Macaca fascicularis: one gene and its partner. The protein of the gene in region 2 purifies or fractionates together with the protein of the main gene of each other region. This does not show direct contact. Links are inferred from orthologs where the notes say so. Each region holds a gene or a part of one and is shown on either strand. Other genes may lie near its edges. The genes, in order: NEDD4L and ARRDC1.

What was found.
Region 1: the proteins of ARRDC1 (region 2) and NEDD4L purify together in Homo sapiens (affinity purification with mass spectrometry; 3 studies listed by BioGRID and IntAct, counting the BioPlex papers as one, with this or other methods). This does not show direct contact. The link is inferred for Macaca fascicularis from reciprocal best matches to the Homo sapiens genes ARRDC1 and NEDD4L.

The regions. Positions count from the first base shown.
Region 1 is NC_088392.1:22,722,385-22,726,918, forward strand, and holds the start of NEDD4L (E3 ubiquitin-protein ligase NEDD4-like), read right to left. Parts: upstream 2,909-4,534; 5' UTR 2,784-2,908; coding exon 1,632-2,783; intron 1-1,631. UniProt on the Homo sapiens protein: E3 ubiquitin-protein ligase that mediates the polyubiquitination of lysine and cysteine residues on target proteins and is thereby implicated in the regulation of various signaling pathways including autophagy, innate immunity or DNA repair.
Region 2 is NC_088389.1:1,707,199-1,711,502, forward strand, and holds the start of ARRDC1 (arrestin domain-containing protein 1), read right to left. Parts: upstream 2,850-4,304; 5' UTR 2,818-2,849; coding exon 2,700-2,817; intron 1-2,699. UniProt on the Homo sapiens protein: Functions as an adapter recruiting ubiquitin-protein ligases to their specific substrates. Through an ubiquitination-dependent mechanism plays for instance a role in the incorporation of SLC11A2 into extracellular vesicles.

The DNA of each region.
Region 1 (4,534 bases), on a different chromosome or scaffold from region 2:
CTGAATAGTTATCAAACTTTAGGAAATATATTTTTGTCAATCTTCATGTGTTAAGTGGTCCAAGTTCAGCATGGAATTGTGTTACCGAACAAAGCCTACAACTGTCATGATGGTAACTTGTTGGGGTGGGGGTTAAAGGCTACTATAATATCAAAACTCTGTCAAAATTTGTACCATTGTGTAATATATGGTATAGGTTCCGACCAAGGCAAAGCACTTAGCTGTTTCCCAACAGAAGAGTTTGAGATAATGAAAGAAAGGAGATACATGGAAAGAAAGAGATGAAGAAAAACAAATTTTCATTAAGCATCTGATTGTATCTTCAAAATGATGACAACCAATGATAGAGGAGTGACAAAGTTTACTTAAAAGACGAAACGTATTTCTGAACACAAAGCAATAAAAGACAATACAATTCTAGAGTAATACTCAGACACTCACTTTTCTAAATCACTATTCACAAGTGAAATCCAAACAAAAAGTCCCCTAGACATTTACTAATCGTATCCTCAAATTGGCAGTCACATGAAATTCAGGAGAAAAAAATATCCAATTCAAAATATAAGGAGCTTGTTCTTTAAGAGAAAGCACTCACTGGCTAGTGGTTACTACTAAAAGAAACCGAACTGATTAAACTTTTCATCCCACTCTACGAAAGCTGCAGAGTCATCATATGCCTGGTCGGATGGAGTGTGCAGCTGTCTCCCTGTACTCCATTTCACTGAAAGGGAGCGATCAGGAACAGAGAAACAGGAAGGCCAGAATCTGTTCTAAGGCGTCTATTTCCACAGCTGGAGACAGGGTACTTACTATTCTATATACAGCATCCCCGGCTTGGACACTCAAGTGGACAGTGTTAAATTGCACGGCATGCCATCTGACCATTAATGAGTCCCCGTCAGTTTCCCCTAGCCTTGGGCCATAACCCAGTTGTTTTAAAAACACATCTCTTAGTATCTCAGTAGTGTCACTTGTGGGACAGTAATGTCGCTATGCCACAAGTGACACTACTCTCGTTCAGTATTACTTAATGGGACAAAAAAATAAAAAACAACAAAAAAACCCAAAGCGAATTATATAACAACGACTGACCTGACCCCCTCAGCAAAAAGGCCATGACAAATAATCATATTTCACCAAACTTTACATTCACCTTCTTTAACTATTAAGAGACGAAACTCAGGTCCTTTGCAATATCCTCACCTTTCCGAGAACTGATTGTTTTTAAAGTATTGTCGCAGGTTATATTTGCAAGCAGCTTTTTAAATGCATTTCCACCATCAACATGTTGGGGCACTGACTTGGTTTTTGGCAGATTAAAGTAATAAATTTTATTCAAAATTCTTCTATTCAGAAAAATAAAAGCAGGGGGAAGGTATTCTGCTTGGATTTCCCAAACAGACAAAGTTGGTTGACTTTGAGGACCTACAGAAGACATTTGCAGAAATGGTGTTTTGCGCACCAAACTCTGGACCACAAATCATCGTGCCAGAACTCGGCCAAACATTCAGATCCGCTGGCCTGAAGCAGGGAAACTCCCGGGACAGAGGGTGAGGTTTATTTTGGTTACGCCGCAGAGTAAGCATCGAAGTTGAAATCAGTAAACACATGTAAACAAGCCGTGAACTTACCGTGGCGTCAGCTCCCGTGGAAACAGGGCTTTTGGCGCTTTTCTCCTCGGGATTCTGGGGAGCTTCTTCCGGCCCCCGGGTTACAAGAATTCTAAAATGCTGCTGCCCCGCGTTCTGATCCTGCCTGATCTTAAATGTGCACCCCTGGCCCTGCGGAGTCCTCTCTGCGGAGTTCGTCCTGCGGATTTCGGGAGCCATCCTGCCAGCCCGAGGCGGTGCCTCCGGGGCTCCCCGATCTTCCGTGGGGCTCCCTCTTTCGCTTCGGGGCTGCGTGGGGTACGAGGTGCTCCTCTCCAGCCGAATGCGGGGATACCTCACCAACCTGTCCCCCTTTGTGCCCGTGAAGCCAAAGTTGAGGTCACTGCCTGACCCCAGAGCGCCTTGCTGGGGCTGCTGCAACTGGAAGACAAAACACCGCTTCCCGGAGCTTCCAGAAGCATCTGGAACGTGCTGCAGGGACCAGCGCCTGGGCTCTGCCGCCGCTGGGCCGCCCTGGCCATCCGGGCCGAGGGGCAGCAGCCTCACCTGGCGCACGTCGGCGCTGGAGGCGCGGTGCTGGATGCGCAGGCCCGGGGCAGCCTCCTCGGGGCAGTCCACCGGGCCAGGGCACCGCACGCGGCGGCGGCCGCCGCACGTGCCGTTGACCTGGAGCCCCGGGTCCCGGGCTGCCCTCGGAGGGGAGTTCCCGGGGGTGTCCCTCGGCGAGGGCTCCCGGGAACCGCTCTGGGGCGAGGCCCTCGTGGTGGCGGTGGCGGTGGCGGTGGCGGAGGCCTGGTCCCCGGGGTCCGGCGTGGTGCACGGAGGCCCATCGTCGGCGCCCTCGGGCGGCCCGCACCCATCCGTGGCCCCGTCCGCGGCCTTGCGCTGCAGGGAGATCTGCACCGAGGAGCTGCACGTGGGGCGGGCGTCGATGCTGGTCAGGAGCTGCGGGATGAACATGGACGAGCTCCGCTTGAGCGCGCCCACGCCTCCCTGCAGGCCTCCGTCGCCATCCTCCCCTACGTTCTGGGCGAAGGGGTGCGGGCTGTTCCTCCGTGGTAGGGTGTGGAATGCCATGAAGAAGTCGTCTTCTCTCTCCTGGTCTAGGATCTCTGATTCGGGGGCTGTGTTGCTGCGACCAGAGCCAAAATGAAACCGAAGCCGATGGGCCATGGTGACCAGGGGGGCCAGGAGGGCGAGGGCGAGCGGCAACAACAGGCCCGGCACTGCCAGAAGTCACAAACCAAAGACACAAACTCCAAGAAAAAGTGTCCCATCTGCCAAACTGTTAGCACTGCGGCACCAGGAGCGACAGATAGCAGAAATAACCCAAGTGGCAAGCGGCATTCCAGGCATGATTGGATAAGAGCAAAAAGCTCTCATCCACACTGTGACAGAGGGTAGGGTGGCCAGAACCACATGACCGCGCTCTCCCCCTCCAATGCCAGCTTCTGGACTTAGAGGAGTTTTCCCCCACTCGCTTTTTTTTTAAACGGCAAGAGCCTGAAACAGCACCTTCCCAGCTGCTGCTTTTCCATCAGAAAGGAGTGGCCCCAGCAGGGCGCTCTCACAGCTGACTAAGGCAGCAAACACACTGCAAGCCACGCTGCTATAAATCTAAACCACATCACATTCACAGGGCATTTCTTTCCCAATGGAGCACAGCGCTGGGACTCTGTCTAACCTGTGCAGGGACCTGGCATGTTTAACAGCACACACGGTATTTCCCCACCTCCCACCACACATGGAATAACGACAAGTAAAATATGGCTTGGCCACCGGGTAAACCCCTTCCCAAGCATTGGATACCATGTTTCTGTTATTTATGACATCACTACACTACCAGGATGGAATGCAAACTAATAAAACAGTACTATAAATACGATTACACACCCCACAGAGTTAGTGTCCGTTTAATGCTAAATAATTAGACCAGGATCTACAAGTAACAAAATAGCTAAAGGGAGGGGAGGGAGCGCGACGTGCTACACACCCAGTTGGCCTCCTGCTATCACAGCATTTTTCATTTAAAAGGTGTATACGTGTGTGTAGCTCACACATGACTGGCAGACACCAAAGTACCAGAGAAAAGGAACCCAGCTGGAGAAAACATTGTCTCCCATATGCCAGGTAGGAAAGAAAACGTCAACGAAAAAACAAACAATAACAACAAAAAACAAAAGGAAAATTGAAGAAGGGAGTGCATGTGGATTTTTTTTGTGTGTGGTAATAATTTAACTTAAATACCATGCAGAAGAAATGCTGCCTAGAGCTGACTGCTCTCCAGTACGAAGTCAGCAATATTACCACAGTTGGGACACAAATATGGAATCTTGCCATGTTTGCAAAGGACCAAAAAAGACTTAAGAAATGGAAGGAAAGGTGCACAGTCGAAAAACTGTCCTCAGATTTGTAGTTAGCTTGGAAATATGCTGTATTTTAAACTCACTATTTTCTATGATCCAGAAACACCAATTAGTTAACAAAGAGGTTTATTTAGAGGGGGTGAAAAAATAGGAGGGGAAAATACCAAGCTGCAAGAGTGACAAAAAGTTTATTTTAAAATCTGCAAAGCATGACTTTGTCAATAGCCCTAGCATCCAGGGTGTGGTGGATTAACCCTGTGTTTACATACATCCAAATCTGTTTTCTAAAAGCATGTGTTTTAAATGCCAAAAATGACCTCTAGAGAGAAATGGAAGCTAGTCTGTGTAATGCTAGAACTTCCAAGTACTACCATAGCCACATATTGTCTCCGCTGGGTTAATAGCCAACAAAGAAAAACAAAACAGCAACACCAGCATTCTTTGCATAGTAACCACACTGCAGATGGCCTGGGGCAAAACTAGGCATCAATATTATAAAACACAATTTTTCAGATACAGCTTGTATTCATACAAGATTTCTTAAAAGTTTTGGTTTGG
Region 2 (4,304 bases):
TCCTTGCTGCCGGAGAGAGGCATATGACCCCACTCCCTCTTCTTTCCAGCTTGCAGACTGCTTGTAATGGCAGAACAGGCTGAAGGGAACCAAGCCTTTTGCAACAGGAAAGCCGCCAGGCAGGGCTTGGCTGCAGGACTGAGTGGCTCAGTGGCAGTTGCCTAGTCAGAGTGTGACTTCTTCCGCCTTCTGGACTTGAATGTTGCACCTCTTTGCAGGGGCCCTGCAAGCCCCGTCCCTCTTCCCCCATGCAGGTTTAAAAATGTTTCCTAGGCCGGGCATGGTGGCTTACACCTGTAATCCCAGCACTTTGGGAGGCCAAGGTGGGCAGATCACAAGGTCAGGAGATCGAGACTATCCTGGCTAACACGGTGAAACCCCATCTCTACTAAAAATACAAAAAAATTAGCCAGGTGTGGTGGCGAGCGCCTGTAGTCCCAGCCACTCTGGAGGCTGAGGCAGGAGAACAGCGTGAACCCGGGAGGCGGAGCTTGCAGTGAGCCGAGGTCGCGCCACCGCACTCCAGCCTGGGCGACAGAGCGAGACTCCATCTCAGAAAAATAAATAAATAAAATAAAATAAAAATAAAAAATGTTTCCTAAGTGTGTTCAGATGCACAACCAAGGACCAGCTGTTGGAGGCTGCTCTGACTCAGGAAGCTCATGATTGGGCCGTGTTCTCGAGGGACCACTGGAACTTTCTTCTCGAGTTCAGGAGCCCCTCCTTTGCACCACCTACACTTGGACCAAGAAGACCCACCAACTCCTCATCCTCATCCCAAAGGACTCATGCCTGCCACAGAAGCTGTGACCTGTAAGCCACTCCCCCAGTCCTGTTTCCAAATCTGTATCATGAGAGTAACAACCACGCCACAGGGTGCTGAGCGTTACTGAGGCTGGCCCATGGGATGTGGAGAGAATTTGCATCAGGCCTACCATGAGTGCTCCGAGAACCACTGTCGATCCTGGTCGCCCATCCCAGTAACAGAACACGAGGTGGTCCTGCCTGACCCCCAGCCCTGGATTGGGCCAGCCTGGGCTCCAGAAAACTGCTCCTTCCCAGGCCTCCCTCTGTGTCAGCCCTCGAGACAGCAGGCGTCCTCATGGCTGGGTGCTGACCGTCACCAACACTCATCGGCAGAGTAAGTGAGCAAGCCCAGGGGCCCAGGCAGGGCTGCTGTCCTCCTGCGGGCTGAGGGCCTCCCTACTGGCTCCTAGCAGGATTGACAAGCATCCTTTGAATGAGGAAACGATGACATTCCGTTCCCATCCCAGGCAGGGCTGGGGGAAACCCCCGGGAACCCCTGTACAACCCTCCCACCTCACTTGCAGCAGCCTGAAATATGTGCTCTCCGGCCCATCAGGGCCCATCTCCTACTCCCTAGTTCATGACCCTCCTTTTTCTCCCTCACTCGGACCAGCCTCTGTGAGCCAGTGCTACCTCAGCTCTTGGGCCAGCTGCCCAAAGTGCTGGGATTACAGGCGTGAGCGTTCACCCACCCACCACGTCCACCCGGAGGCCGGGGAGCCTGCTCATCCAGGCCAGTCACGCACCGCGAGGCCATCCCTTCCCTGTGGTCAGCAATGGCCTGCTCGCCCCAGGCCGCGCCAGGGGAGGGACGACAGGGCCCTGCACTCCCCTCGGCCCGCCTCACCCCACACCTCACCTGTATTCAAGGGATGCATGTGCTATCTCTGCCCTGCCACAGCCACACCTGCCCCCACCCAGACCCCAAACTCAAGCTGGGGACAGAGGAAGGGAGCCTGTGGGGTCATCCCAGGAGGCCCAATGGGGCCAGGAGCCTGACAGAAGCACCTACCACCAGGCTTCTTCGAGGTCCCACAGCCCCAGGCGGTGCAGGGTCAGGGCCACAGCACCATCACCTGTCCCAGGCGGCTGAGAGGACAGAACAGAGGCTGTGGGTTCTCAGCAGGCACAAAAGCGGTGCTGTCACCCACGCGCAGGCCCAGCGGTCAAGGTCCAGTGGGAAGCCCACGGGCTGTGGCCAAGCAGCCCAGGTGGTTCCCACAGGAGGCCAAGGTAGAGAAGCCCGCGGCAGGGACGCGGCACTCACAACCAGGGGCCGGGCAGAGGCCTGTGCGGAGGCTCCCATCCTCGGGAGGCAGCCTCACCTCGCTGGCCTGCCCTCACCTCCAGGGCGCCCTGCCAGCGGCCACTGCAGCAACCCGATCCCCAGTCCCCGAGGCCCAGGCGTCCGCCTCGGCGGGGGGCGGGCGAGGCCTGCTGGCGCGGGGCAGGGGGCGCGGGGAGCCGCAGCAGGTGCCTGCACCCCGCCGGGACCGCACGCCCGGGCCAGGAGCGGCTCTGCAGAGGGAGCGCCTGCGCCGGGAGCCCGGGTGCGGGAAGGAGCCCAGCAGGTGCGAGCGCGGACAGGGAGGGTCGCAGGCCTGCTTGTGCCCGCACTCAGGGCGTCCTCCACCGTGGACCCGCTTCAGGCCCCGGCTTGAGGCCCCGCCGGGACCACGCCGACCCTCGGCGAGAGGGCAGGAAGGGCAGACGCGGAAGGGCGGCGCCGCCCGGACCTCCCCGGCGCCGCCGAGCCCGCGCCCCAGCAGTCCCGGGCGGCTACGACAGCGACTTCGCGGGCCCAACCCGGGGCCCGGCGACGGCAGCCGCTTCCGGGAACCCTGGCCCCGCGCAGGTGCGGCCAATGGCCCTCCCCGAGGACCCGCGCCCACCTCGGAACGGCAGCGGCGCCCCCAGGCGCACGCGCACGGTCCCAGCCAGCGGCTCCCCGGGGCTGTAGACAACGCGGCCGTGGCTCAGGCTGATCTCGAAGAGCTGCACTCGCCCCATGCCGCGGCCTCACCGGCCCGCCGCACAGTGACGCCCCCGCCGGCAGCCCGCGAGCCCCGGCTCCGAGGTCCGGCCCCGCCCCCTCCTATGCCCCGCCCCCATCCGTCCCAATCCAGGCCACGCCCCCGTCCGGCCCTTCCCAGGCCCTGCCCCGCCCCACGGCCCCGCCCAGACCCCTGGCAGCCCCATCGCCCGCGGGCTGCCGCTCGGAGGCCCGGCCCCGCCCCTATTCCCCGCCCCATCCGTCCGCGTGGCCCCGCCCTGATTATGCCCCGCCCCTCTGACAGCTCCTCGCCCCGCCCCCGCCCTTCGCCCCTGCCTCGCCTTCCCAGCTCCGCCCCTGCCTCGGCCGCCCCACCCCTACCCCGCCCCCCGGCCCCGCTCATCCATCCCCGGCCCCGGCCCCCGCCCCGCTGGGTAGGTGCTGCGCTGCGTCGGGCGCCGCTTAAGGGACTTGAGGCGAAAGAGTCCCCAGCATCCCCCACTGAGGGAGTCACCGCCGCGTCTCTGACGGGGGGCGGGGCTGGGGGCGGGGCCGAGGCGAGCTCTGGGACTGGGAAGGGCTCCCCGCTGCGCTCTGCATAACCCACGCCTCGCCCCAACCCTCCGCCCGCCCCGCCCAGGGGTCTCCCTCACCCCGAGTCGCGGAAAAACGTCACTGGGCCGCGCGGGCGTCCTGGGCGGGGATGCTCCGCCGCCTAGCACCTGCCCTGCCTTAACCCCCACCCCCGGCTCCTACCCCGCATCCCCCGCCTTCCCCGCACCTACCCCGCGTCCCAGCACCTGTCCTGCCCTTTCGGAACCTGCCCGCCCTCCCGCCTTCCCGGTACCTGCCTGCCCCCGCACCTGTCCCGCCCTCCAGCACCTGCCTCGCCCAACCACCGCCCCCCCGCCCGCCCCCTGCCTTCCCCACACCTGCCCGGAGTCCCAGTGCCTGCCCCGCCCTCTGCTATCCCCCTCCCTGCTGGCCTGATAGGGTGCGGGCCCAACGGAGCCACACTTGGGCGGAGGCCCTGGGGCGGGGGTCCGCAACAGAAGGGTCGGGGGCCAGGTGGGGCGAGGACTTAGATCACTGGGAACCGGAGAAACACACTCCTATTTATCTTTCTTAAAGATCCTTTTGTAGAGAGTGAGCTGCGGGGGGGTAGGACTCAAATACCCCGGGGACCTAAGTGGGGAGAGAACCGTTGGATAGTCCTGGAAAGGGAAGGCCTCCCTCGCCTACGGACAAGCTCACCATGGAGTGGGTGAGGCAGGCCCCAGTGCTGCGAGTTTTTCTAGGACAGCTGGTGAAGACGGTGGCCTTCTCTGATGGGGAGGACGGGCCTAGACACACATGGTTTGCTGGTGGGAGACTCATCACATGCGGAGTCTGAGGTGCCACTGATCCCCAAGTGGACCAGGTACTTCCGTGCATGAGCCTGGGAGTCAAGCACTTAAACGTTGCCATCCCTGGTTGGTAGAAGGTAATAGGTCAGGAAGGAGGA